Astyanax mexicanus: one gene and its partners. The protein of the gene in region 2 interacts with the protein of the main gene of each other region in a pairwise test. Links are inferred from orthologs where the notes say so. Each region holds a gene or a part of one and is shown on either strand. Other genes may lie near its edges.

Region 1 (7,054 bases), on a different chromosome or scaffold from region 2:
TGTATCCACCAAAACCTTGCATTTCCATAATGTTAAGTTTTTTATTCTTTAATTGAATCAAATGATGAATGCTCATTTATGAGAAATGGACCAAGTGAAATGAGCCTAAATTACTTGAAATAATTTCTCCTGTAAAGCTGCCATTTAGGATATACAAGGTTTTTGCATGACAGCAACATATAAAGTAACAGCATACAAATATATCAACATACATATTGCTCGTTTATGTGCATTAATGAAAATATCAAAAATGTGTGCACGTGTGCACAGAAATGTAAACATGTTATCAAGTACATGGAGAGAGGACGTGTTAAGAGGACGGTGATCATTTTTTATATATCTCAGTGGTTACGTACCACAGTTCTCAGCATGAGTACTAAATCAGTGTTTATCTTATCTTTGAAAAGCCTAAAACTTCACATAGATCTTCTGGCATGCCACTTCAACAAAATAACTTTCTACTGCTGCACTAGAAGGTGTAAGGCCGCAAAGCTCTGTATGTGTTTGTGAATGATGAAAGTGAAGGGTATCACGCGTAGATCCAGTGATCAGTGCTCTCGTCCCAGCAGAACAGCTCGTAGTCTTTGAACCACAGGGAGATTTCTCTCTGAGCGCTCTCCACCGAATCACTGCCATGAATAACGTTCCTGCAACACCACAGATACATAGCAGTTATTTGTGCCATCAGTATTAGCATACCTTCAGCTGCAGGTCCACATGTCCTATATTAGTCCTGTTGTGACAATTTGTCTACACAGGTAAAAATCACCAGGCTGCTATTAAGATTCTATTACATCTATTAAATGCACTTTGTTCATTTAAACGACTATTTAGGCTCTTTACAAGGAAATGTGCAGTCAAACAGTGATCTTTAAAGTCAAAGTACCTAAGTTTGAGGAAATTTAAGATCTCCTTGGTGAGAATGTGTAAATGAGAATGTCAAAAAGTACTTTTAAAACATGCATTGTGATGCATTTTGCTTTCAGAATGAATTAATCTTAATTTTAATTGATGAATCAGTTATTTTAACATAATTAGGAGCATCTCACAAACCTTCCCACTTCTACACAGAAATCCCCTCTGATGGTTCCTGGAAGGGAGTCAGCAGGATTTGTCTCTCCAAGCATCCTTCTGGACATTCTTACCACATCAAGGCCTTGCCAAACCTTGCGAACAAACACACAGATAGACATACAGTATATATATATATATATATATATATATATATATATATATATATATATATATATATATATATATATATATATATCTTAGAATATGTAACAGTATAAGACAGGATGCAATTTGATAATCAGGTGAAGTATCTGTATCTTACCATAGCTACAATGGGTCCAGAGCTCATGTATTTGACTAGACCTTTGTAGAACGGCCTTTCCCTCAAGTCCCAGTAGTGCTCCATCAACTGTTCTTCAGAAGCCTGTTCAAAAATAAATAAATAAAAAATGTATGACATAGGAAATTATGTTTATGTCACTGATGCAGACTGCAATGTTAAGCAGCTGCAATGTCACAATACAGAAAGGGAAGCCACTCAAACCTTTTTTTAATTAGTTTCAAGCTTTCCTTTACCTGCAGGAGTTTCATGCCGACCAGTTTGAAGCCCTTTCTTTCAAAGCGGCGGATTATCTCTCCCACTAGCTTCCTCTGAACACCATCCGGCTTCACTGCGAGGAAGGTTCTCTCATTTACCCCCGTCCATCCTGCAAAGCATTTACATAAGCACACAGGAAATGACAGGCAGTTAGGAAAAATGTATTTTATATATATATATATATATATATATATATATATATATATTTTTTTTCCAGATCTGTAGTTAAAATATTAAACACAATTGACATATAGTCAATTGTGTTTAATATTTTAACTACAGATCTGGAAAAAAAATAAGAACGCTTAAAAATGATGAGTTTCTTTGATTTTACCAAATTGAAAAACTTTTGTACTATAGTCAAGAGGAAGATCACAAGCCATCAATCCAAGCTAAACTGCTTGAATTTCTGCACCAGGAGTGGCATAAAGTTATCCAAAAGCAGTGTGCAAGACTAGTGGAGGAGAACATACCAAGATGCATGAAAACAGTGATTAAAAACCAGGGTTATCCCACCAAATATTGATATCTAACTCTGCATCTGCTCTAAATGACAATATTTTTATTTGGAATTTGGGAGAAATGTTGTCAGTAGTTGATAGAATAAAACAATGTTAATTTTACTTAAACATATACCTTATAAATAGCAAAATCAGAGAAACTGACATGGTATCTTAATTTCTTCCAGAGCTGTATATTAAATGCATTGCTAAATACACGATTGTGTGTCATAATGATAAAATTAGTAAAAAAATAAACATTTACAGTAATGCCTTTTTATTGTATGGAAAAAAGTAAAAACTGCAAATAATTACAACATGGTTCAAGAGGATTTTGGATGATACAGTTTAGTTTAAATCTAGACATTTAGTTTAGTTTGCTTCTAGTTGTGGAAGTGAAAACTCAGAACAGTTAAAAATCAGCCATTCCACTGTCCAGAAATCCATTTATTAATAATAAAGATTGCACTAATCTGACTTTAAACATTCTCAAATTTAATTATGAATTTTTGAATCCTTATATTTTTCAGGTTTCCATAAATACAGGACTGCATGCTGTATACAGACACGTTTAAACGGACCTTAGGCAAAGCAGTCAACACTCTTAATAAGCTAATACCAAACTATAAACCTATTACACTGAGGCTCAGAGACCCGCTGAACAGATGGCTTCATAACAACAGCAAGACCCGCCCTGAACCGGGAATCTCAGCCAGTGAAACTCGGTACGGTTAGGTTATTCATTAACGTTAAACTACTCAGAAATTAAACGCCTCCTTTCTGCTGTACCTGATTCAGTGATTCGGGCGATTTTCGCACCTAAATCCAGAATATCTGCAGAGTCTGTAAGTGACCTTTTGGAGCCCATGCTGCGTGCAGCCGCCTCGCGCGTTCAGTCCGACACACAGACCAACCAATCAGGTGAGGGAACGCCGGGGGATGAACACTCGGCAACCAATCAGAAAAACGGCGCTAATAATAGGGTTTACACAGAAACAGGCAGAGGCGATTCACCTGCTAACGGCCACTGAACTCTAGTGATGAGGAGCTCGAATCAAGATAGATGAACCGATTCTTTCAAACTGAACTACAGCGATTACAATTCGATTCACACAAACAAACCGATTCCTTCAAACTGATTTTTTGTAAGATTTGGTAAGTTATACTAAAGTTCAACGAACCGATTCTTTAATAAAAACAAAACACAATGAGAGTAATATGAAATAAGTTTAAGGCATTAGTTTCCTTAACATTCCTTAAAAAATCAAAACATTCACAGTATTTCGAAGAAAAAAAACGTTTATAAATGTAGTTAATTTTCAATCAAGTCAATCATGTATCACTTTTCTATACAAGACACAAACATGCTAATATCATGGTATAATTTTAGCAGTTGTGACCTTAGAATCACATTAATGAACCGATTCTTTTAAGCTGAACTGCAGATATTAAAGAAAAAAAAAGATGCATGAAATTAATCTGATTCTTTCAAGTCAAGTTAAGTCAAATAGCTTTCATTGTCATTACATCTAAGTACAGGTACACAGTGCAAGGAAATTATGTTTCTCTGGAACATGGTGCAACATGGAACAACAAAGAGATGGGAGGTTTAAATAGGCACTAAACCCCCTGATTTTTGCTGAGTCCACCTTTTAAAAAAGGCTAAAAAATGGGAGGGGGATTTTAGGAACGGAACTGGGTGATGTATGGGTTTAGAAGCAGGGCAGGAGGGAGAGCTGATTGGCTGAGCTGCAGCAGTATCAGTGCTTCTCTGATAAGCAGATGGTTGGACGTCAGCAGGAGGCGGTATTATTGATGATCTGATCTGAATAGTGTGATGTGTCTGCGTACAAAAGTACATGAAAGCAATAAAACAATCTTTTTTTAAAGATTGAGAAATGTTTATGAAAAATTTAAGCAGGACTGGTATGTTTCACCTATTAATAGACAATAAGGGTTCATTGGCTTTTTTAACATTCACTTATCAAGTCAATCATTTTATACAAGTACTATGCTAGTATCATGGTATAATTTTAGTTGCAAACCCCAAGCTGTTGTGAGAAGACCTTAGAATCGCATTATTGAACCGATTCTTCGAAACTGAACTGCAGAGATAATAAAAAAACATTTGTGAAACCAAACCGATATCAAAAATGTGTGCACGTGTGCATAAATGTAAACATGTTATCAAGTACATGGAGAGAGGACAAGACGGTTACCAGGGCGGTGATAATTTATATATGCATCATAGTTCTCAGCTTGAGTACTAAATCTGTTTTGTCTTATCTTTGAAAAGCCCCAATTTTTACATAGAAGCCTATTTGAGCAGATCCATCCTCTGGCATGCCACTTAAAATAAAATAAAAAACAACATCCTACTGCTGCACTAGAAGGTGTAAGGCCGCAAAGCTCTGTGTTTGTGAGTGATGGAGGTGAAGAGCATCATGCATAGATTTTTTTTCAGGTAAAAACACGATAGATACTGTGTATCATAAGATTATATTTCAATTCTGCAATACAATATTTTCCCATATAGCCCAGCTCTATCAGTGATTATGTACACCTAGGGTGGTAGCTTTTATACTGTTCATATCGATATCACAATTATATTGTTATAATTCGTTCAACTTCATGTACCACGCGTGATGTAAAATGACAATAAAATCACCTTGAATCCTTGAACTACTTTACTGAACCTATTTCTTTGAAACTGAACTGCAGAGACAAAAAAGGAGAAAAAAAGATTCACTACACTGAACCGATTCCCTCAAACTGACATTTAGAGATGGAAGGTTTTGTTGAGTTTGCTGAACTGATTCTTTAACATAGGGACCAATAGTGGAATTTTCTTTTGTTTATGCTAGCTAACCTAACTAAAACTACCACAGTGTTCACAGAACTTTGACAAACATGTCGATAAATGTAACTAATGTCAACTTCTCACCTGAGACACTGGCGAGAGGTGATTTTAGTGTACTTGTTATGGGATCTTTGTAACTCAAGTCAGCTTTATTTGCCTAATTTTTCAACACGCTATTTAGCAGCCTAGGTTAGGTTAGCTAGTGCTCGGAATACATTAGCGACGGTCGTAGAAAAGAAGGCAGTAAGTTACACCGCATGCACACTTTAAACAGGACACGTTTATTATTATAACCCTGAGTTAAATACGCATAAAGACAAACTCCACAGCACCAGCTAGCACTCACATTTTCCACAGTAACTAATTACCCTGCCAGTTAGCCAGCTTAGCTAACTCAGACTCTTAAATTTACCCGTGTTAATTAAAGCAGTCTGAGGCTAAAGGCTGAGACACTACTGTGTGAATCCGGTGTTATGGGGCTCTTCAGAAATCACTCACCTGTTTTAAACATGTAGGCGAACAGGCTTAAGAAAAGGCAGATCATGGTTCTGCTGAGTCCAGCTCGCCGGCTGTCCCGCCTGTCCCACGAGTTTTTGGGGAGAAAGAAGAGGGCGCGCCTGAGCACGCGCACTAACGCCGCGAAAAGCGCGTGCGCAAACGAGCGCGTGAACGACCTCTACTCCTTTGCTCACTCACTGCCTTTGACTGCAGTGCATGAAGACCACAGACTGTATGTACAGTCAAACGTTTGGACACATCTCTTCTCATTCAATGTTTTCTTTCTTTTTATGACTTTCTACATTGGGAATTTTATATTAAAGTCTACTTTAGATTCTTCTAAGTACCACATTTAGCTTTGAGAACAGAGCTCTGCACACTCTTGGTATTTTAATTTCAGTGTCTTCATGAGGTAGGGTCACCTGGAATAATTTTCTCAGCTGGAGCTTGTTTTCATGTGTTTAATATTAATCAACAACATAGAAAAGAAAGAAAGAAAGAAAAACATGAATCAGAAGAGTTGTGTCCAAACTTTTGACTGATACTGTATGTATACAGTCTATGATCAAGACATGAACAGGCTCTTGTACTTGGAGTAGTTGGTTCAAGACAATACGGCATCTGTTCTTTAATTTCCTACCAGGACAGTTATAATCAGTACATTAAATTTGTTTATTGTCAATATATATATATTCATTTTAAGCCAACTTTAAAGCTCATGTGTGTATAAACATATGTATATACAGTGGTATGAAAAAGTTTTCATTTTCATGATTTTCCTTTATAAATTATTGGTTGTTCGAGTCAATTTCCATTAAATATAGCGCCTGCCTAATTTTCTTAAAAAAAAAACATTTATACACTCTCTGTAAATCCTATAAACTTTACTTAACCTCTCAAATATCCCTGTGTTTGTCTGTTATATGATATATGTAACTGAAATTGCTGATCCAAACAACGATGATTTATAAAGGAAACTCTTTAAAATTATCAGGGATGCGCAAACTTTTTCATACCACTGTATATATATTCACGCCATCTAGAAGACAGACTCATTGTTTTATCTTTTCTTTCTTTTTACTTTTATTCAGTTTAGACAGATTCCTGGTCATATATGTATATGTGTATGTATATCCGGTGTACCTTTTGTTTGTTTTGTCATTGTTGAAACACTAATGCTTTAATATGTAGATAAATAAATAAAAAAATCTAAAAAAAAAAAAAAAGAAAAGAAAAAAAAAAAAGGAATTTAGTTGTAGCAGTTCAGACATAGGTTTAGTGGGTATGTTGTTTTTATTCATAAATATTGCAATAAGCAACACATCATAGTAGCACATACAGTACAGAATATTTTACACAGGTCATCAAATCCTTCTTTAAAAAAAAGGGGGGAGAAGGGATGTTCAAACAGCCAATGTCCTTTAGTTTCTAATTTTACAAACTTGGTGTGGTACTAGACTGGAGTTCCCTCCAGTTTCCGTTTCTCCTCCTGGCTGCGGAAGTACTCTTTGCTGAGCAGCACATCTCGCTTCAGAGGCAGGCTGGGCTCAGGCAGGCTGCTGGCATCTATGCCCAGCTGCTTAG
Region 2 (7,085 bases):
AATAACCAATTTAGAAGGGACTAATTTAATCCAGTATTTTTTGTGAATATCAAAACAAACACACATTATATACATACCATCACTCTTAAGTCTTTCTGCCTCTGCTATCTGATCCTCTGTTAGGGGATTACTGGTAGAGTTGACTTTAACTTCAGGTGTGTTTTTTACCTGTCATAGATACACACAGTCTTTATTTACAATTCTCAAATCATAAATAATACCAATACTCTGTATCTGAACAGCAATATTAAAGAGAATATAGACTGCTACCTTTGGAGTGGCTTTTGCAAATAATTCTGGCAAAGTTTCAGTAACTTCTAAACTCTGGTCCTCCACTGAGACACTGAATGCTGTCTCCAGACACTGGATGGCAACTGGAAAGCAGTTTTAGTGATCAATCATATCAGTGTTTTAATTCAAAACCATAAACAAATATAAGCTTAGTAACCATTCATTCAGAACTGCATCAGTATTTACCTTCTAAACTTTCTTGAGCATCTGACGACAATTCCCCAGACCTGAGCTGGTCATGGAGAAACTGGATAATGGAGAAAGCGAGACGTTTTGTGTCTGTCATTTTGGCTGGAGAAAAAGCTCTCTCCAATTACTTCTGAGGAAATCTGAAATATAAGAACATGTGGGCATATGTTTAGCAGAATAACATCATCTCAAAAAGTAAAGTTCAGTAAAATTGAAAGCTTTGACTGTGAACTGCCTAAAGTGACCATACTCAAATTTATAATTACTAAACATGATCTAAGGCACATTCGGAGATCCTCCAGTGGGTTTTGTTCTATTGACAATGCTCTTCTCTGGAAGTGATAAAATCTGTTAACACCCAAGCCAGCAACTGGTGCATCATATCAGCACAAAAATAATATTTATTCCAAAAGAATAAATACAGTGCAAGTTTGGAGTGTGCATAATATATTGTTTAAATTCTTTCATGTTCAGGTCATGTTTCTATTTTGCTGCCTGACATAAAACACCTGCCCAACATAAATGATTTTATTGTCCAATATTTTATAAAGTGTGTTGCATTATTAGTAGGGTATTGGGTAATCTGTATTATTTTTCAATACATTTAGCTTACCTTCATTTTTGTTTATTTTTTTCCACCACTGTAAATTTGTGTGTTGTTTTTGGTGGTATTTTTGTCTTTATGTTTGTTATCTGCGTTAAGTCACAATTTTACACGTCGTGAAAAACGGCTCTAAATTAGCATCACGACAGGTGGGATCACCAATTTCCATACAGTGCAAGATACATCAGAGCTGGAATTTAGTAAGACCTGAAAATAAATTAAATCAAACTGGTCTTGTTTCTTTTTTTGATGAAAAAAAAAAACCCAGCCTAATATGATTTTTACTGCCCAATTTTTTGGACACATTTTCACTACATTTCGTTTTAATTTTTTAAGATGTCTTTATTTATTTTTTTTATTTTTTTTACCACCAGTGGAAATTCCTGTGTTTTAAATTATTAAAACAAGCAAACAATATAAGATTAATTAAGAAGAAATAATTTCAGAATAAAAGGATAAAATGTAAAGGCAATAAAAAATATAAGAATAATAAAAGACAAACACATTTAAAGAAATAGAGGAGTAAAATAACACCCAAATTATAAGGTAAATGACAGAACTAAAATAAATAATAAGTTTATAAAAAAAAGTATAAAAAATAAAAGGACAAAATAAACTAAATAAAATGGTAAAAGGTCACAAGTAAAACCAGTAATAAAACAAACAAAAGGATTAAATGAATCAAATAAATAAAAAGGCTAAAAAAATGATAAATAAAGACAAAATTAAATAAATTAAAAGGCAAAAAAAAAACTCAACTAAAAGCAGTTACAGGCTGACTGAAGGTGGCTAGAGACTACTAGTTTAAAATTATTTAGTGACTCAGTTTAGAATTTCAGGTAGTACATTCCAGCTCTCGGGTGCTGCACTGTAGCTAAAAGCAGATTTCCCAGTTCAGTAAAAACTCTAGGAACCGGACAGGTAATAATGCCTTTGGTGAGAGAAATTTGGCAAATTGTCATGGGTAAATAAGGTCTGCAGTAAGATTCACATCATAAGTTTAGGTTTTCAATAATTTAGGAACTGGTTGACCCCTTAACATAAATCATTACATAATTCTGGTGATTTATACTATATTTTTTCCAATCTCCTAATAATGACACATTTCAGTTAACATTACTTTAATTACAATGACTAATTACACTGAGGTCACTGTACTGCTAGGAGTACCATCCATGCAAGCACGAGATCATCAAGATGATTGCTTGTGTCTTAACTAACGTTAGCTAACCTCGCACATATACATAGTTACCTAACTATCTAACTAAGTAACAGTATCTGTCCAAGTAGGTTAACACACTTGCCTAACGCAGCCGAATCGTTCAGTTCTTTAATACAGCAGATTGTTCTGCTGCTGTCTCTAGTGAAATGACTTCATATGAACATATGACCCGGAATCTTCTAGCAACAGCTGGCTAGGTTAGCTAGTCTGATGATGTGTCCTCAACAGCTAACTAGCTATCAATTTAACCCCCTCAGCTGCTCACAGCGCTAAAATCATTACACTCTAACAGTGTAAACAGGAATACATGTGTTTATTATATCAGCAACTACCGGCTACACGCTGTCTAACCGTGCGTAACGCAGCTAGCTAAGCTAACTAAGCTAACCCGCAAGGGCTACCTCGATATCCAGCTCACTAACATTGTTTGCTAGCTAGCATTAGCATTAGCTCGTTTCGTTCAGAGTAAAGGCAGCTCAACTCTCAATAACAGCAAACAGCTTTTAAAATCTGCCCCGCTCATAAACCAGGTAAAGAGGTAAAGACGGCCTACATTGTGTCACTCAGCTACACTCCCGAGAATCACACCCAGACCTTTTCTCAAATCTTTTTATACTTACTGACTGTCCCACTGCAGGGATTTTCCTCGCTGCGCTCTCAGTCTGGCGTACGCTGCGTAATACGTAAACTCACCCCTCCGTGCGTAAAACCAGCGTAAAACGTACTGACGTAGCTATAATGTCGCTAAACATATGATAAAAATAAAATACTATCATCATTAAAACAATAGACGTGAACACGTATTCATGTCTATGATTAAAACATCCTCCCCAGTATGGGCTGCATTAAAATGGGAATTCATTTTATGAACAAATGTATTGGGAACATAACTAATTACTAAGGTAAAGAAATAATATATGCACTCATAAATATATATAATCTACACTAACCCCTTGTTTCATTATACCTATTTTATCTGTACCGTTTACTTTCTTTATAATCGTATTGTTATTTTTAATTACTTACATATTTTAGTCTTCTTTTTATTTTTGCTCATTCTTTTTATTTCTCTCTTTTTTTCCTCTTTACATTTTAGCCTGTCAACTTATCTTTTTGTTCTGAATAATTTAGATTATTCTTACTTAAATCATTATTGTTTGTTTTTATAATGCCTTTGCCATTTAATGTTTATTGTTTTTATAATTAAAATGTTAGAAGTTCACTAAAAAATTATGGTTGCCATCAATGTATTCTTGAGTGAAAATAAAGGTTAAAGGTTGTATAAATTATTTACAGCTAATTTTAATATAATCAGAACTATTCATGCCTCATTCAAATAAATAATTTCCCACTAATTGTAAGTAATCATAAATTAGTAATTTATTATTTATTTATTGTATAATATTGTCACAAAAACTTCATAATTAGTTAGATAATTTATTTATGCATTTAGAAGATAATATCTTTAATGTCCATGACACTGTAAAACAACCATAGCTAAATTGATCAAATAATTAATTAATTAATTAATTAATTAATTAATTATTAGTTATATGAGACATTTTTACTAAAATAGACAATTCTTAGTTAATTTAAGATATGTGTTTTGTGAAATAAGTGTTAGTTAGTGTGTTATATCAATATTCTTTACTAAACTCAGTTATTTTTTACAGATTATTTTATTCTGCAAGAAACTAATTCTAAACAAACGAGCATTAGCTAATTTATTAATTTATGAAGCAATATTTCAAAGAAAGTTTAAATGCTGTATTAAACATGATTCTGTTTTTGTGTTAATTCTTATAAATACATGCAAAATAGTCTGTAAATATTTCACATAATTCCAATTCAAACTCTCTTTTCCCACATTAAATGTATGTATTTCGTTTAAAAGTCATTCTTATCATTCTTAAATTTTTTTGTGTACTATCACTGAGCAGAAGAGGATTGGGCGGGGTTTTGTTGATTGACAACTCTCAGACCCAATCAATGAGTGCGAAATGGGCGGGAGGATACCACCTCACAGGGAAGAGCTATCACGGGCGGGCGGTGGAGCAGCGAGCATTGATTCAGAGAAACGCGTGGAAAAATGGCACCTACAGGTAATCTAGGTTATATTAGAAAAGTCAGGTAGATGTTTGACTATCACTTTTTAGTTACTTTCCTCTCTTTAGTTCAGTACTTTCTGCTAATAGTTAACTGAATGATGAACAGGGGTCTGAATGCAGCTCTACGATTCAGTAGGTTAGAGCAGCGCTGGGTATATGGGGTGTAAAGTACTGAGCTGGATTAACAGTGAACATAAACTGTAATGTTTAATTTAGAAACACCGCCATTACTCTGTTTTTACGAGCACGGTGGCGGCTACTCACTGCTGTAGTGTTCACACATACAGCCGTTTGCCGGTTATGAAAACAATAGCTAGCTAGCTGCGCAGGTTCTTGTGTTGTAATGCCGTTATGTTAGCTTGCCGGCTAGCTACAGTTAGCCTTCTGTGTATATGCACTTGTACTGAGCCGGACAGCTAGCTGTGTAGCTAACCGTAGTTAGCCTGCTGGTTTGATAGGTTAGCTAAGCGCCGTCACTTTAGCTTCCATTAATACCAGGAACACGTGTAGGTTAATATTATTTCCCCTATGGTTCAGTGACATGCAGGTTTGCGCTGGTGTTTATTGTGTTTTTTAAGCTGTATGTAAACTACCTTTTTTAGGGTTAGCTTTATATCGAACTGATTACAAATTCAGGGCGTCATTCTAAACGGAGCATTAACGTTACTAGACAAGCTGACAGACATATGTTAGCTAAGCTAGCTGAACAAACTCAGCTCTCAGCAATGCTTGAGAATTTTCCATATAACCATAAGATAAGATAAACAGCTAAGTTATACAGATAAAATATTCTGGCTTTGTTAGACATTTTAGTAACTTACTTTGCTTTTTAGCCCTTGCTGTTCTGCAAACAATCTGGACAATATATTAACATTTTCTCACATATCAACGATATCATTGGTACTCAAAGAACTCCGCATCAACTGTACAATGGTTTATCGTTTAGCCCAAAACTAAGAAATATACAGTGATATATTTTTTGCCATATCGTCCAGCCCTATTCTGTGACAAAACGACGAAAAAAAAATATATACATATATATTAATTGATAAATTAAACGATTCTGTCATTTTAACTACAGAGATCCAAAAAGATTACAACAAGTAAAGTTGGGCAAATATGTTGTACAAGTATGTTGTACTAATAGATATGTCTTGGAAGTAATAATACATGATAGGGCTGGGTGATGTACCAAAAATTGTATCAAAATATATTTATTCTTTTAGGTTGCTATACTAATAAATAAACTATAGTTATTGTGTAATGTATGAGGGATCTGCAGTTTAGTATGTTTTTTGTGGGTGTGGGGTTCTTTCTTTTCTTTTGGTTTGGTACAATACGATATGGGTATTATATCCCAAAACATACATTTGAAACCTAATGCCTTAAAAGCTCATCTCTTCTGATATTTGAAACACATGAGAGAAACTTTCTGCTTCAGGTGAAGTAGTGTTTGGCGGTGGAGATGGAGTTTGTGCTGACAATCGTTTGCGCTGGGACCTCACTCCAGAGCAGATCCATCAGCTTACGGATGAGCTTATTGCAAAGACCAAGCAAGTCTATGACTCTGTAGGATCCTTGGATCTAGATGCTGTAACCTATGAGAACACTCTGAAAGCCCTTGCTGATGTGGAGGTGGACTACACAGGTAATACTTCATGGTTTGTGATTGTGGTTGGAGCTTCTAATGCATTTAATACTTACTGTAATACTTACTGGTATTTAAAATACCAGAATAGACACATGAATGCAAATGTATTTCTACTTAATCTGGTTAGATCTATATACTGAGGATGAGTCCTCAACTTTTCTGACATCTTCACAAGATTTAAGCACAGATTGTTTCACACAACGAGCCCTAATTTATAACAAAGTGACCAGGTTTCAGTTATCACTATTGTGAAACAAAAAATAAAAAGGCTGAGTCAGCAGGGAAGCCGTATGCAATGGTACACACCGTTCAGCACTTTTTTACATAAAGACTGGCTGACTGACACATGCACAACAATAGTGTTTGCCATTGTTTAGTGTGCAGAGTGGAAGCACTGCAAGGCACCTATCTTGTGTAGGTTTTCTGTTGACAAAAAAAATAAATCAAATAAAATGTTATGGCAAAGTGTTATTACCTTTTTATTCAGTCCTTTTTCCCCTAATACAGAAGTATTGTCATGATGTGTTTTGAATTATGTGTTTTCATTAATGCTTCAGTTAGTGCCACATTAGTCTTTACAATATAATAATGCCCTATAAAAAGTAATATGAGGTATTAAACTGATTTCTTAGCATTAGTCTGAAGCCATTATTTATAACCTGTAACATCGCATCATCTCTGGCTCTTTTCCAGTCCAGCGGAACATGCTGGATTTCCCTCAGCATGTGTCGTCTTCTAAGGACGTGCGCACGGCCAGCACCGATGCAGATAAGAAGCTGTCGGAGTTTGATGTGGAGATGAGCATGAGGGAGGATGTGTACCAAAGGATTGTAGCGCTTCAGGTTAGGTTCCTAAATGTCTGGGGTGTTTTTTTTTTTTTATTAGGTTAAGGATGGAATCAATAAGGAAGACAGTAGGGCTGTGCGATATTAACAAAAAAATTCTTACAGTGCATTACTGGCTGATAAAGGCACGCACAGAACACCTCTCAGCCAATCAGATTGCAGGCTCAGAATTAAC
Region 3 (7,430 bases), on a different chromosome or scaffold from region 2:
ACTTACATTACTTTAAAACAATACTTTATTCCATTCACTCTCAACAACTCCAGAGGTCTTTATAGACATAAAATATGTGTACTTGCATATACTTACTAGTAATGCGTGAGAAATCTGCCTTGGACTGGCTGAAGATGTCTCCAAGCCCCAGTTTGCTCAGTGTTGACTTCAAATCGACTTCTGTGTCAATGGAAAACCTGGACATAACATTGACGCAAACTTGTATTAGACTCTAAATAATCAGAATTAACAATCAGAATCCAAAAAATAGTAAATGTCAGTAAAATAAAGGTTTTATTCTCTTTACCTGGGCAGCACCAGCTGGCGGTTGACCTTCTTTATGTTCTTTCTCCACTCCTGGACCTTGCTGCCACTCAGCTCTTTGATGAGGGCAGACAGCGGCATGTCCTTTTCGAATGAAGACACCAGGAGCATGCTCATTGAGTCTCCTTCATAGGGTACCTCAATAACATCGTAATCAACACCTTCCTTCGTCACAAACTCACCTGGAGGATGAGACAGGCAATATTTAAAACAATGGCAATAGCTGTATAAATATTAGAGCTTATATATCAATGTATTTCTTAATCATTCATTCATTCATTCATCCAATAATCATTACTAAGGCTGGACTGATATAAAATATTAGCTTAAATAATGTTTTTGGCCAAAAAAATTACACTGCAATTGTTTTGATAAACAAAGATTTTCTGACTAAATTAGAATTTAAGTTTCATTATGAAAAAAAATAAACAGCATTATAAGGATCAACAGGAATTCTGCAAGTAAATTCATGAAACCTTAAAATAAGCCAATTTAATTGGTCACACCCAAAACATTACATTACACTAATTCCATTACATTCTCACCGTAGTTAAATTTATTGGTGGTTCTCATCATTGGCACTGGCAGTGTGCTACCATTAGGACCATGGAACATCATCTCCATGGTCAGGCTGGGGTCGAAGGGTGTCATCCAGAGGCCGTGAAAGTGAAGCGCGTTTAACAGCACCAAGCGAGTCTGCTGACTCAGAAGTCCGGACGGCAGGAAGTTTGGAATCATGCCTGAGAGAAGAGAGAGGGCAGAGTTCAGGACTTGTTCAGTAGCACGTGAGATCTCCACATGTACACAGTGTACTCTGACATAATCTTTCAAACGGAACCATTTAATCATAAAAACAAGACAAACAAAAGATTCTAATAAGGTAGAGTTAATCATCACACTCTGAAAAATGAAAGGCTGGTTTCAATTTAATTACAATTGACAAATAACATCAAAAAACACATTATAAAAAAATTATCTAAATTCATTATCATTTATAATTGCACAAACACATACACAGTCTCACACAAAAGGAAAAAAAAAGCACACACACACCTCCGGTTCTGTCTGACGTCCAGGCGTTGATGACCTGCTGGGCAGTCTTTGGCTTGCTAAAGTCCACCTGGTGAGGGACACTCTGAAATGCTTTTGTAAGGCTGCGTCGGAAGGGCTTCTCCAACATCAGCTTTCTGTCCACCATGACGCCACTAGCCACCTCCACTCCGTGTTCACTGGACAGGTCTCTGTGAAGAAGCCTCTGTTGTCGTGGCATTCCACGATCTGGAGAAAGTACAGAAATTATAGGTTTCTATATAATTCTTGGATTGGAATCAGGGAAAATCCATTTATTTGGTGCATAAAAACAATTTTCCCTCCATTCTTACCTTGCAGAGAATAGCCCATGTGCTCTTTGAGTGTCTTTAGAGTGCTGCCATAAGCTCCCAGCTGGACCATTCCCATCACGGAGGAGATGCCGTAGGGTGACATGGCAAAGTTTTCATCTTGATGGGAGTGAGCAGCTTCTGAGAACAGCCGCAGTCCAAAATCCGTCTGCTGCTTCTGCAGGAAGGTGCCCATCGCTGACCCATAAAAGGCAAGGGTCATCAGTACACAGAGTGTCTGCATTCTGCATAAGGAGAGAATGGATAAGAATATGAAATCTAGACATACTGTTTGAGTAACATGCTGAATTAATCAGTTAATTCATGAATAAATGAACCACAATGAGTAAATGAATGAATGAATGAACATGTGGTACTACTACACTATATTTAGTGCCTTAAGCTGTACTGGAATCAACAGCATAATTCACCCATATCTAATGTGGCGCTTCCTGTCCTTTAATCCTGTCCTTGGCATCTGCTACAATCACCGTTTTAAGCTATTAAACTCCCTCACAACCAAAAGTGGTTGACGCCAGTAGCCATCACACTCAGACAGACCTGAAGGAGCTCATAAGTGTGTCTGAAAGGCACGTATTCTTCTCTATGTACTTAAACACCCACAATGTAAATTCAGTGCTGCTGTTCCTAAATGCTTACCTTGAGTCACCTTTCCATCTCTCTGCAGGTCTATTCACGAATCCGCTAAAATGAACACACCTAGCTACGTGACCTATTCCGACAATTACCAAGCTTTGTAAAACCAAGATTTTGTACATTATTATATATCTATATTATAAAATCAGTTGCAATACACTGGCATATTTTAACATGGCAAGTTAAATAGCCTTAAACTCAAGTGGCTTTTTATATGGAAAGTCTACATGGAGTCAACAACAACTGCGTCAACTATTGTCACAATACTTTTTGAAGAAATTTTAGTGGAGGTAATCTCTTGACAAAGCCAATACAGTACCCCTAGCTCTAAAACATAAGTCCTTGATCTGTAGCCTAAATTTGGATTTTTAATTTTAAGGTGACTTGAATATAAAACTACAAGACAAAGTTCAAAAATAAAAAATACAAGAAAAGATTTTACTCTACAAGTTTGACAACACAATTATCCCCATATAACATTTTCTACACAATGAAAATCAAGCCTAAAAAAAACAACTTTTGTCCAAAAAGTGCAAGCAAACCATAACCCATACCTGAAAGTCTGGAAGTAGTAGTCTCAGTGGATCTAAGCTTGTAGATGTGCCTTCTCCTTGTGCCTATCCAGCATGGACTGAACGAGCAATTGCCTCTCTTCTCTTTTTAAAGAACTCAGGACCCAGAACCCCTCCCCCTAAATGCGGAACGGAAGTTATGAAGTCATCTCTGTCTGCTTTTCCAGCCTGAGCCACCCCTACTCCTGCGCTCTGTTTCACACAGACACACACACACACACACACACACACACACACACTCACACTCAAACACGATTTTCTCTCTTCTTCAACAGACTCAACTAAACCGAGTCATGCTGTTCCCCCCAGGGAGCTCCGCTGCTGACTTTGACAGGATTTGGCAGCAGTTTAGACTCAGTGAACGCTCTGAGAGTGTTTGCTAATTAAATTACAAACCCACTCACTCACCCACGCACTGTGTTACACTACACACTAATATAGCCTCAGTGCCCCAGTGCGAGACTAGTGAAAATAGATGGGTCTGGTTTTAATAAAAATGCAGAGTTTTATAATAACAATGAAATGCTCTGTCTAAACAAAGTGGGGGATATTAATGATCTAGGTCTACTCTGTCCATAGGGTGCTGTTGGTTTGGATATTTTTTGTTTATGTAGTGATGCATACACCACTCATACTTTCTGAGTTGACTACTTAAACCACATCAAACTATATCATACATAACTTGTTTAAAAAGGCACTGACCATTGCCAAATTCATATAGAAATTGTACAATTATTTTAAATATGTTTATTTTTACACATTCTTTAATTTTTATTTTTTATTACTACTAATATATTTTTATTATTTTATTTTTTATTACACTTTACATTTGTTTATACAGTACCAGTTAAAGGTTTGGACACACCTTCTTTTTCCAACATTGTAAATGAATACTGAAGTCATTCAGACTATGAAGGAACACATGAGGAATCATTTAGTAACTTAAAAGTGTTAAACGAACCAAAATACTCTGTGAACCATTTAGGTGCTCTTTTCTGGCATGATGTTAACTTATCCTGTAAAACAGAGGTAACTCTTGGTCTTACCTTCCTGGGGCTGTCCTGATGAGGGCCAGTTTCATCATAATGTTTTTGATAGTCTTTGCGACTGCACTTGAGGGTACTTTTGGAGTTCTTGGAATATTTTTTAAAGGATTTTTTGTTTTCTTAGTTGAGTAGTTCCTGCCATAATATGGATTGGAACATTACTTAAATAGCATCATTCACTGTATACCAACTGTTTGCCTCTTCACAACTTTACAACTGATGCTCTTAAACACATTAAAGAGGGCACAGATCTTACAAATATCATTCATTTAAACTCTATTTTTTTAAATAACCTCTAATATGCTTCTAAAATTAGCAATTGACCAACTGGTTATTTCCATATTAATCTGTCTGTGACATTTATAGAATAATACTTATCTTAACTCCACCTGCTCCTCTTGTGTTATCTGTTTCTGACAATAGGAGGATGGCTTCTCCCTTTGACTCTTCTTTTTTTGGCTCTGGTTGAGTTTTCCAATGTCTCATCCTTGGCTTGCTCATTAGAGGCATGAACCCGGAACCCCTAATGAGAAGAGGACCTGAAAGGAAACACAACCAAAATCCTTTCTTCTTATGTGGCCTAATCAAGAACATCAGTCAAAGCCAAAATTCACCAGTGGGCCCCTCTGGTGAAAATGACACATCACACTGCCATATTTGGAACTACAGATCCAGCATTCCATGGGGCATGCTCACGGACTGAGCTGCATGCCCCAAGTTCTACAGATGACTGAGCGTCTGGCGACAGAGAGACGAGAGTAAAAGGAGGAATATAAAAGAGGGAGAGCGGCTGTGTTTCACATTTACACCAGCCGGCTATGATACGATGATATCAACATGCCTCATATGACTCGATATGTCTGTACCTGAAGATGCAGAAAGAAGATAAAATGTATAAAGGAAACATTACATTAAAATAAAGACTTTTTAAGCTATTATTTTTCATTGTTTAATGAAAGATACTAATTTGGAATTGATTTTTCATCAATATTTTAAGGATTGTACCATAAACATTACCAAAAAGCTTCCTTTAACAGTCCTAACAGTTTTATAAATCAACTTTAAAATATTTTAGAACATTTACGTGATGTGATGGTTTCTTTAAATCTTAAATCTCCTTAAATTGAATGTCTTAAATGTTCACACAGCTTTTTAAGATTCATACACTTTTGAGTTATTAGAAAACCAACATGTTTTTTTTTTTCCTGTGCCATATATACTAGTTAGATTTTGCTATGCACTGTAGAACAGTATACATTGAAGTTACATCATGTGGTGGTTATCTACTGGACTATCATGTGGTGGTTATCTACTTTTTTGCTTTTTGGTACCTGGTTTCTGGTTAATTTTCCTTTAACACACCTCCCCCTGCAATGTTTTTCGCAACTCTCAATGTATAATTATGTCAGCCACCAATCCAAATATATATTTTTATCCTTTTCTAAAGATAACAGCATAATTTTACAAACTGCCATTGCGAGACAGATAAAAACAAATGTGATTGCTAATGTTGCTTGGAAATTTTGTGCTGCTAGATATCTGCATTGCGCAGTTTAGAGTGAATGTTCTCTCTGGCCAAATCAGCACACATATTTTTTTAATATATCACAGTTTAGTCCCTACTCAGCTCGCTTGAAACCACAAGCATGCAGGAGTAAAAGCACTAACTTTCAGGTATCAGGTACCAGATTTGCCCAAAAGATAAACCAGGTAGTCAAGTCAAGGGCTGCAGTTTATACACAGCATCCAGCGAGTTGTAAAAAGAGGCACTCATCGTATTATGCACAACAACCGGGGTTTTGGCACAAGCTTCTTGAGCCAACAGTTGTATTATACACAGGAACCGTTGTTTGAGACAAGCTCCTCTGATAGATTGCTGTATTATACTCAGCAGCCGGGTATTGGCACAAGTGGTGCAGACCGATTGCTGTATTATAATCAGCAATCAAGCTATACAGTCCAATTAACATATTATAATTGACAATCACAGTGTTGACACAAGCAATATGGTCCAATTGCCATATTATACGCAGCAACCAGGGTGCTGACACAAGCAATATAGGTAGTTTTTTTTTATTATATATAGCTTATGAATATATTTATTCAGCTCTTCTCCCTTTTATCGAATTGTAACCACGTGCTGGAAGATTTATTAGGGTATCAAATACGGATCTTCAGGAGATTTACTTTAATGAGCTCTTTTTTTAAAAAACTTTTTGTAAGAGTAAAACTGTATGTGTACTGTATGGAGGGCATGGTGACACACTGTAGTGTTGGAACAGCACTAATTTTACTCTTAGATTAAAGAGGTTTAGTAACTTCAGTAAACGTGTCCCACTTTTATTGGAATCTCTGTTTATAAAAAGTCTGCCAGCATGATGACAGAACACTTAGGAGAGACTAGACACTCAAGTGACAAAACAGAGCCAATATAATTACGAAGGTATGAGGTCATGGTCTATTACATGTTGGTGTTTCATTAGCGTCTAATTGTTTGTCTCAGTTTTTATATTACTAGAATCCCACAACAATGTCACAGAAAGTAATTATTTTCTGGTCTATTTGTCATTTGCAACATGTATAAGGCATGTGCATATGAGTTTATCTCATTCGGTCTCCATTCATGAAGCCATTAGGCTAATTTTAGCATCTGCAGTCATCACTGCCCACCTCCTCCACTGAGTTTGCTACATTCCATATGGAGTGAATGGAAAAATATGGAACCACAGATTCAGACCCCAGTGGTACGCCCACCTGATTCACATTTCAGATGCACATGGGAACTCCCTTTAGCTGGAGGAGGACTCATCTTATCCATGGCAACCGACCAAGGCTGCTTTGGAAAATCTATTAAACTAAACCGCAGTTTGGGTTCAGCGAAGAGCCTTTATGCAACACTGCTCTGTTGCTTGTTTGTCTCCAGCTTTACCACTTCATATAACTATGTGATACATGGCCTGGTGTGGGCAGGGAGCCTACAGTGACTTCACAGAATTTAAGACCTACAGCTTGCAGTTTGTCTTGGGTCCACATGTTTAAAAAACGTATGATCCTAATATGTTTATAGTGTACTATGAATACAGGATTTTTAGGAATTGAAGATGAAATTTCTTCTAAAACCCAATTCATTGATTTATCAAGAGTAAAGCTCTGAACAATTTTGCAGTGACGTTTCCCAAGAACAAACTAAGAACATTCTTTGGCAGATGTTCGTGAATGAGGCCCAATAATTGTATTAAAGATAGGAATAAGTATAAAGTATTAAGAACCTTAATGCTTTAAAGAACCAGCATTTGTTGTTTTTTACTTATAAAGTATCTCTATTATCTCTAATACAAACATGGTTCATTATGGAGACAGTAAGTAAAACAGTGTTTATTAACCCTGGTTCTTGAGGGTCACTGGCTTGCACATTTTAGTGCTTTTCCTGCGTTAACATGCCCGGTTTAATA
Region 4 (7,516 bases), on a different chromosome or scaffold from region 2:
TGTATGTACTCTTGAGCCCCCACCTGACATCATACCAAATCATACTAAAATGCTGTATCTGTATATATCAGAGTATTATTTTTACTTCACCACTGTACTTAAGTACTAAACTAAAAAAGTTATATCTTATCTAATTATTAATTGACACTAGTTATGACATTAAACATTGCTAAACTTTAATTAATTAGAATGCTGTAAATAATAATTAATTAAGACAACAGATAACAAAAGTTAAAGGTTAATGGTGTCTTAACTTATATTCTGAACTTGGTATACATACTGTTAATTAATGAATCCTTAGGGTAAAGTGTTACTCCATAACTTATGACTTATGGCAGTGTATTTATCAAGGGTCAGGATCAAAGTGCATCTGTGTAACTATAATATCATGATATTGTGATTCTACGATACTCTGTGTACCGTAATTATCACAATACTTTATGATACTTCACAGCAACTGTGTTACAGAAGAGAATAAAACACTCCTAAACAAATAATAGGAATTATAGATTTATTGGTGTCAGTTTCACAGTATTTCATAACACATATTTCTTTTTTACCACAGGTTTACTATTCCTTTGATTAGCGCCACCATGTGAAGTAATGAGGCAGGAACTTTAGTAAGTCAAATTGGGGGCGAGTAATAGGGAGTTTAGAGCACCTCGGTTTCAAATACGAATATGAGACAAAAGAGCAACATTTCAGCTTTTATTTTCAGGTATTTACTGGATCTTGATCTGATACACAGTTCAGAAGATTAAGCACCTTCTGTCTGAATCCACCCATAAGTATTGGAACAGACAAACCTAAAGTAAATTAAAGTGAAAAAAAAACAAACTTCATATTTAGTTGCAAATCCCTTACTTGCAATAACTGCATCAAGCCTGTGACCCACTGATGTCACTAACCTTATGGAAAATAGCTTTTTTTTCTGCTGTAGGTTTAAAATATTTGGGTTTGACATTAAAAAATTATGAGACAAAAAAAGCATCTGTACTTTTGTTCATAAAGTCTTCTGTGAACAGTATATTGATCTGCAGTCCTGCTCTCTGGGGGTTGTTGCTGATTTGACTAAAAGTTGTTACATTACATTACATTACATTTGGCAGACGCTTTTGTCCAAAGTGACTTACAATAGTGAAGTACAAAAGTAATAGAAGTTAAAGGTAAAACATCTTTAGATAGGGCTTAAAGGAGGTCGAAGGGAAATAAGGGGATAGAGAAGTGAAGGAGGGGAAGAAGGAAATGAGGTTAGAAAAGGTAGTGTATTAGAGGTGTTAAGAGAGTTGTTTTAGGTTTCCATTTCATTTTGTAAAATTGCTGAATCAGGATCAGTTACGATTTACTGAATTCTATGGAGAGGTGATATTAGATACCTACAGTACTTTTACTCCAAAATGCTTTTATAAATGAGGCCCAGTGTTTCTGTCATCAACTGCTGTGTTATTTCTTGGTCTTCTCAACATCTGTTACTTAGTACACCAGTGACGACTTTCTTCTTCAGGACATTCCAAACTGTTGTACTGGCTATGCCGAATATTTACAAATTGGCTCTGAATGATTTTCCATCTTCCCTCAGCTTCACAGTTGCTTGATTTTTACCCAGATGCTCAGTCTGCACAGATAAAACCCAAATCTGAAACTGAATGTAGACATTCAGCACTATTTATTGTTTGAATAATCAATGTATCAGGACACACCTGGTCAACAAAACACACCTAACACATCTGACTTACTCACAAGTTCCAATACTTTTGCTCATAAGGAAAATAGCAGGGTTTAGACAGAAGGTGCTATCTTCTGAACTGTGCATCAGATTCAGATGTAAATACCTGGAACTAAAAGCTGAAATATTGATATTTGTCTCATTTCCATCGTTTAATGTCTACATTAGAAATAGGAGATTGGTCTCGCTGTTTTAATACTTTTGTAGGGTATTGTTTTTGGGATGTATTGAAGTGGAATCAGTACCTGAGCTTACTCATGCATACTCTCTGGGTCAAATGCAATCAATTCCTGCTTACAGCAATGTTCTTAGTGTAAATATTTCCCAGTCAATTAGAGGCTGTTACTGCAGCAAAGTGGAAATATCACTTCATTTCAGGAGGAACAGATGAATGCTGGAGGATCTGGGCGTCCGGATACTTTTGGACAGGTAGTGAACAGCACTGAAAAGTGTTTAGTCAAACTGGAGCTTTGTTACATCTCACAAGTCATGAGAGTGTAAACTCACAAGGAGTGTCCCAGGAGACCCCAGACTGCGGCTTTAGGCAAATGAACAGGGTTCTGAAAACACACCCGAAGCTCTGCAGCACACTCACTCTGCTCACTCCGCTCACTCCTCTCACTTCTATGGCTACTTAAGGTAGGTGTTTACCTGTACGCTCTCCCAGGCCGACAGACGTGCACTCTCCTGTGCATTCACTATCCTCTACAGGTGGATACACAGGTGGTGTTACTCTCAAGGCCTTGTCTTTTTAAAATTCTTCTTTATTATTATTATTTTTATTACTAATAACATTGCTGTTACCAATTGTGCAGAATGACCTTCCAGGCAAATATCACTCAAACATCATTACAACGTGTTTCTGTATATTTTTTATGAACTGCTGTTAGACTATAACTACTGAATACTCAGTACTAAATACTAAATAGTTGACTACTGTCTAATAAATACTGAAAACTAAATACTGATTACTGACTACTGACAATTGTATACTGACTACAGACTAATGAATACTGACTACTGAATACTGGTTATTGACAACAGACTAATGAATACTTACTACTGAATACTAAATGCTTATTATTGCCCACTACTAAATACCGATTATTAAACACTGCAGAATGAATATTGAATACAAAATACTGGCTAATATATACTTACTACAGACTAATGAATACTGGCAATACTAAATACTGATTATTGACCACTTTCTAATGAATACTGACTACTGAATACTGGTTATTGACAACAGACTAATGAATACTTACTACTAAATACAAAATACTGGCTAATATATACTGACTACAGACTAATGAATACTTACTACTAAATAATAAATACTTATTATTGACCACTACTAAATACCGATTATTGACCACTGCCGAATGAATATTGAATACAAAATACTGGCTAATATATACTGACTACAGACTAATAAATACTGGCAATACTAAATACTGATTAGTGACTGCTTTCTAATGAATACTGACTACTGAATGCTAAATACTGATTACTGACTACTGCCTAATGAATACTGAATACTAATTACTGACTGTTGATGATTATATGCTGACTACAGGCTAATGAACACTGACTACTGAATACTAAATACTGATAATCGACCACTGCCTAATGAATACTTACAACTAAATACTAAATACTGATTATTGACTACAGGCTGATGAATATTTACTACTGAATGCTAAATACTGATTATTTACCACTGGCAAATGGATACTGAATACTAAGCACTATTTCTGACTCCTGGCTAATATATTACTGACTACAGACTAATGAATATTGACAATACCAAATACTGATTATTGACTACAGCCGGATGTATACTAACTACTGACTAGTGAATACTGATTATTGACAGCAAACTAATGAATAATGAATAATAAATACTGATTATTGACTACTGAGGATTATATACAGACTACAGACTAATGAATACTGACTACTGAATACTAAATACTGATTATTGACTACATACTGATTAATACTGACTACAGACCAATAAATACTGACAACAGCATACTATATACTGATTATACAGTACTGACTAATGAATATTTACTTAAATATAATAATATACAAAATAAAAACTGGTTATTGACTACTGAATACTGACTACAGAATACAGACTAATACATACTGATGGCTGAATACTAAATACTGATTATAAACTACTGACTAATTAATGAAAACTGTCTACTGATTAACGTAATCATAGTGCAATAAATACTTAAGGATAACTATTGAATATTGATTTTGAAAACTGACAACTGACTAATACATTTTGACTACTGAAAACTGATTATTGCCTACTGACTAATTCTTATGGTATACTAATTAATGTAATAATAGCTTAATGAATGCTGACTGATGACTCATGAATATTGACTTGTAAAAAGTGACAACTGACTTATAAAATACTGAGAATTGGCTAGTATTAACTACTGACCACTGATTTCAATACTAACACTCTAACACTGATTACTTGCCAATATTTTACTGGCTGCAGAATACTGCTTACTGGCTGAATAACAACTAGGGCATCATTCATCAGTATTTTGTTGTAGAGAATTGATTATCAGCAGTTTTAGTCAGTAATCAATTAATTGATCAATTAATCAATACTGAATAACTACTATTTACTGACTATGGACAACAGACTCCGATTCAGTTTTCAGTGTGTTCTGAAGTGGTTAAGCGTTGTGTAAGTGTGTCAGTAGTGTGTTTAGTAAAGATTAAAGGTATGTGTGCAGGTGTGAGTATGGTGAGGAGCGATGGCAGGAACCTGTGCTGGAGGACAGTACTTGGACCGCCTGCTAAAACAGTGCATGCCCTGTCAGCTGGTGTGTGATAACCCTGACCCCCCCACTCGCTGCCTAGACTTCTGTGGTGAGTAACACACTGCTAACAACTCAGAGGCAGAACCAATCAGAATCTTTATTTCAGCTGGGGGTGAGACAACAAGAGCCAAACTCAGAGACATAACCAATCAGAATCTCTATTTCAGTTGGGGGTGAGACAACAGAGAGTCAAACTTAAAGGCAGAACCAATCAAAATCTGTATTTCAGTTGGGGGTGAGACAATAGAGAGCCAAACTCAGAGGCAGAACCAATTTAGAATCTCTATTTCAGTTGGAGGTGGGACAACAAGAGCCAAACTCAGAGACATAACCAATCAGAATCTCTATTTCAGTTGGGGGTGAGACAATAGAGAGTCAAACTCAAAGGCAGAACCAATCAGAATCTTTATTTCAGTTTGGGGTGAGACAAAAGAGAGCCAAACTTAAAGGCAGAACCAATCAGAATCTTTATTTCAGTTTGGGGTGAGACAAAAGAGTGCCAAACTTAAAGGCAGAACCAATCAGAATCTCTATTTCAGTTGGGGGTGAGACAACAGAGAGTCAAACTTAAAGGCAGAACCAATCAAAATCTGTATTTCAGTTGGGGGTGAGACAATAGAGAGCCAAACTCAGAGGCAGAACCAATTTAGAATCTCTATTTCAGTTGGAGGTGGGACAACAAGAGCCAAACTCAGAGACATAACCAATCAGAATCTCTATTTCAGTTGGGGGTGAGACAATAGAGAGTCAAACTCAAAGGCAGAACCAATCAGAATCTTTATTTCAGTTTGGGGTGAGACAAAAGAGAGCCAAACTCAGAGGCAGAACCAATTTAGAATCTCTATTTCAGTTGGAGGTGGGACAACAAGAGCCAAACTCAGAGACATAACCAATCAGAATCTCTATTTCAGCTGGGGGTGGAAGAAAAGAGAGCCAAACTTAAAGGCAGACCCAATCAAAATCTCTATTTCAGTTGGGGATTAGACAATAAAGAGTCAAACTCAGAGGCAGAAACAATCAGAATCTCTATTTTAGTTGTGGGTGAGACAATAGAGAGTCAAACTCAGTGGCAGGACCAATCAGAATCTTTATGTTAGCTGAGGGTGGTACAAAAAAGATCTCAACTCAAAAGCAGAACCAATTAGAATCTCTATTTTCAGCTGGCAGTGGGACAACAGAGAGTCAAACCCAGAGGCAGAAGCAATTAGAATCTCTATTTTCAGCTGGCAGTGGGACAACAGAGAGTCAAACCCAGAGGCAGAACCAATCAGAATCTCTATTTTCGCTAAGGGCGGGACAACAAAGAGTCAAACCCAGAGGCAGAACCAATCAGAGTCTCTATTTCTGCTAGGGGTGAGACAATAAAGAGTCAAACACAGAGGCAGAACCAATCAGAATCTCTATTTTCGCTAAGGGCGGGACAACAAAGAGTCAAACCCAGAGGCAGAACCAATCAGAATCTCTATTTTCGCTAAGGGCGGGACAACAAAGAGTCAAACCCAGAGGCAGAACCAATCAGTATCTTTATTTCCACTAGGAGTGGGACAAAACAAAGAGTCAAACTAAGAGGCAGATCCAATCAGAATCTCTATTTCAGCTGGGGTTGGGACAACAGAGAGTCAAACTTAGAGGCAGAGGTAGAACAATGTTGTTCCCTTCTATTCAGTACTTGGATTAAACTGGTGATGTAGATCATTTGTAATTAAACTGATGAAGATCTGATTTTGTGATCAGTCTCATTACAGCTCTTCTGACTGTCTGTTTACAGTGGCCTTCAGCTGTAAGGCTGTATCTGGGCAGTTCTACGACCAGCTGCTGAAGAAATGCTTGAAATGTTCGGAGCTGTGTGGCCACCACCCCTCAGAGTGCTCACAAGAGTGTCCGAGTAAGTACACAGCGGCCGTGTCCCAAATTCACTCTATGGGCCCTCATCAAGTCAAGTCAAGTAGTTTTAAAGTCAGAAAAAATGAATATTGAATACAAAATACTGGCCTGTATTTACTGACCAATAAATACTGGCAATACTAAATACTGATTATTGACCACTTTTAAATGAATACTGACTACTGAATGCTAAATACTGATTACTGACTAATAAATACTGAATACTAATTACTGACTACTGACGATTATATGCTGACTACAGGCTAATGAACACTGACTGCTGAATATTAAATACTGATTATTGACCACTGCCTAATGAATACTTACCACTAAATACTAAATACTGATTATTGACTACTGCCTAATGAATACTGAATACTAATTACTCACTGTTGATGATTATATGCTAACTACAGACTAATGAACACTGAATACTGAATATTAAATACTGATTATTGACCACTGCCTAATGAATACTTACAACTAAATACTAAATACTGATTATTGACTACTGCCTAACGAATACTGAATACTAATTACTGACTATTGACGATTATTTGCTGACTACAGGCTAATGAACACTGACTACTGAATATTAAATACTGATTACTGACCACTGCCTAATAAATACTTACAACTAAATCCTAAATACTGATTATTGACTACTGACTAATAAATACAGACTACTGAATATTAAATAGTGATTATTGACTACAGACTGATGAATATTTGCTACTGAATGCTAAATACTGATTATTTACCACTGCCAAACTAAACTAAACTAAAAATGGACAAAAATGCAGATACTTGTTTTTTATTGGACAGTGACGATATGTACAGGACATACAGAGGATTGAAATCATGTTACTCTTCTTCCCAAAAGTTACAACAAGTACAGCAAGATAAAATATAAATATAAAAGAACACAATACACTAAATGTACAATACAACAAGGCCACAGATATATACATACTTAAGACAAGAGACACAAGATAATAGTGCAATAGTGAGGGGGATCATTGTAAATGGGACCAATATAAACATTAGT

What was found.
Region 1: the proteins of sgta (region 2) and nme3 interact in binary tests that used the Homo sapiens proteins (3 or more experiments, as listed by UniProt). The two-hybrid records come from large-scale screens. The link is inferred for Astyanax mexicanus from reciprocal best matches to the Homo sapiens genes SGTA and NME3.
Region 3: the proteins of sgta (region 2) and serpine1 interact in binary tests that used the Homo sapiens proteins (3 or more experiments, as listed by UniProt). The two-hybrid records come from large-scale screens. The link is inferred for Astyanax mexicanus from reciprocal best matches to the Homo sapiens genes SGTA and SERPINE1.
Region 4: the proteins of sgta (region 2) and tumor necrosis factor receptor superfamily member 13B interact in binary tests that used the Homo sapiens proteins (3 or more experiments, as listed by UniProt). The two-hybrid records come from large-scale screens. The link is inferred for Astyanax mexicanus from reciprocal best matches to the Homo sapiens genes SGTA and TNFRSF13B.

What each region holds. Positions count from the first base shown.
Region 1 is NC_064426.1:27,535,018-27,542,071, reverse strand, and holds the start of nme3 (nucleoside diphosphate kinase 3), read right to left. Parts: upstream 3,022-7,054; 5' UTR 2,981-3,021; coding exon 2,902-2,980; intron 1,722-2,901; coding exon 1,591-1,721; intron 1,439-1,590; coding exon 1,337-1,438; intron 1,167-1,336; coding exon 1,054-1,166; intron 648-1,053; coding exon 530-647; 3' UTR 1-529. Other genes in the region: mrps34 (28S ribosomal protein S34, mitochondrial), read right to left, coding at 6,924-7,054. UniProt on the Homo sapiens protein: Catalyzes the phosphorylation of ribonucleosides and deoxyribonucleoside diphosphates, other than ATP, into the corresponding triphosphates with ATP as the major phosphate donor.
Region 2 is NC_064423.1:18,691,541-18,698,625, forward strand, and holds the start of sgta (small glutamine-rich tetratricopeptide repeat-containing protein alpha), read right to left. Parts: upstream 3,027-7,085; 5' UTR 2,927-3,026; intron 2,879-2,926; exon of another isoform or gene 2,860-2,878; intron 621-2,859; 5' UTR 578-620; coding exon 478-577; intron 375-477; coding exon 271-374; intron 169-270; coding exon 78-168; intron 1-77. Other genes in the region: thop1 (thimet oligopeptidase), read left to right, coding at 4,396-4,408, 5,856-6,062, 6,759-6,907. UniProt on the Homo sapiens protein: Co-chaperone that binds misfolded and hydrophobic patches-containing client proteins in the cytosol. Mediates their targeting to the endoplasmic reticulum but also regulates their sorting to the proteasome when targeting fails.
Region 3 is NC_064415.1:25,930,203-25,937,632, forward strand, and holds the start of serpine1 (plasminogen activator inhibitor 1), read right to left. Parts: upstream 3,021-7,430; 5' UTR 2,915-3,020; intron 1,949-2,914; 5' UTR 1,948-1,948; coding exon 1,707-1,947; intron 1,603-1,706; coding exon 1,378-1,602; intron 1,065-1,377; coding exon 870-1,064; intron 507-869; coding exon 308-506; intron 198-307; coding exon 97-197; intron 1-96. UniProt on the Homo sapiens protein: Serine protease inhibitor. Inhibits TMPRSS7. Is a primary inhibitor of tissue-type plasminogen activator (PLAT) and urokinase-type plasminogen activator (PLAU).
Region 4 is NC_064422.1:7,890,372-7,897,887, reverse strand, and holds the start of tumor necrosis factor receptor superfamily member 13B, read left to right. Parts: upstream 1-4,501; 5' UTR 4,502-4,518; coding exon 4,519-4,633; intron 4,634-6,352; coding exon 6,353-6,469; intron 6,470-7,516. UniProt on the Homo sapiens protein: Receptor for TNFSF13/APRIL and TNFSF13B/TALL1/BAFF/BLYS that binds both ligands with similar high affinity. Mediates calcineurin-dependent activation of NF-AT, as well as activation of NF-kappa-B and AP-1.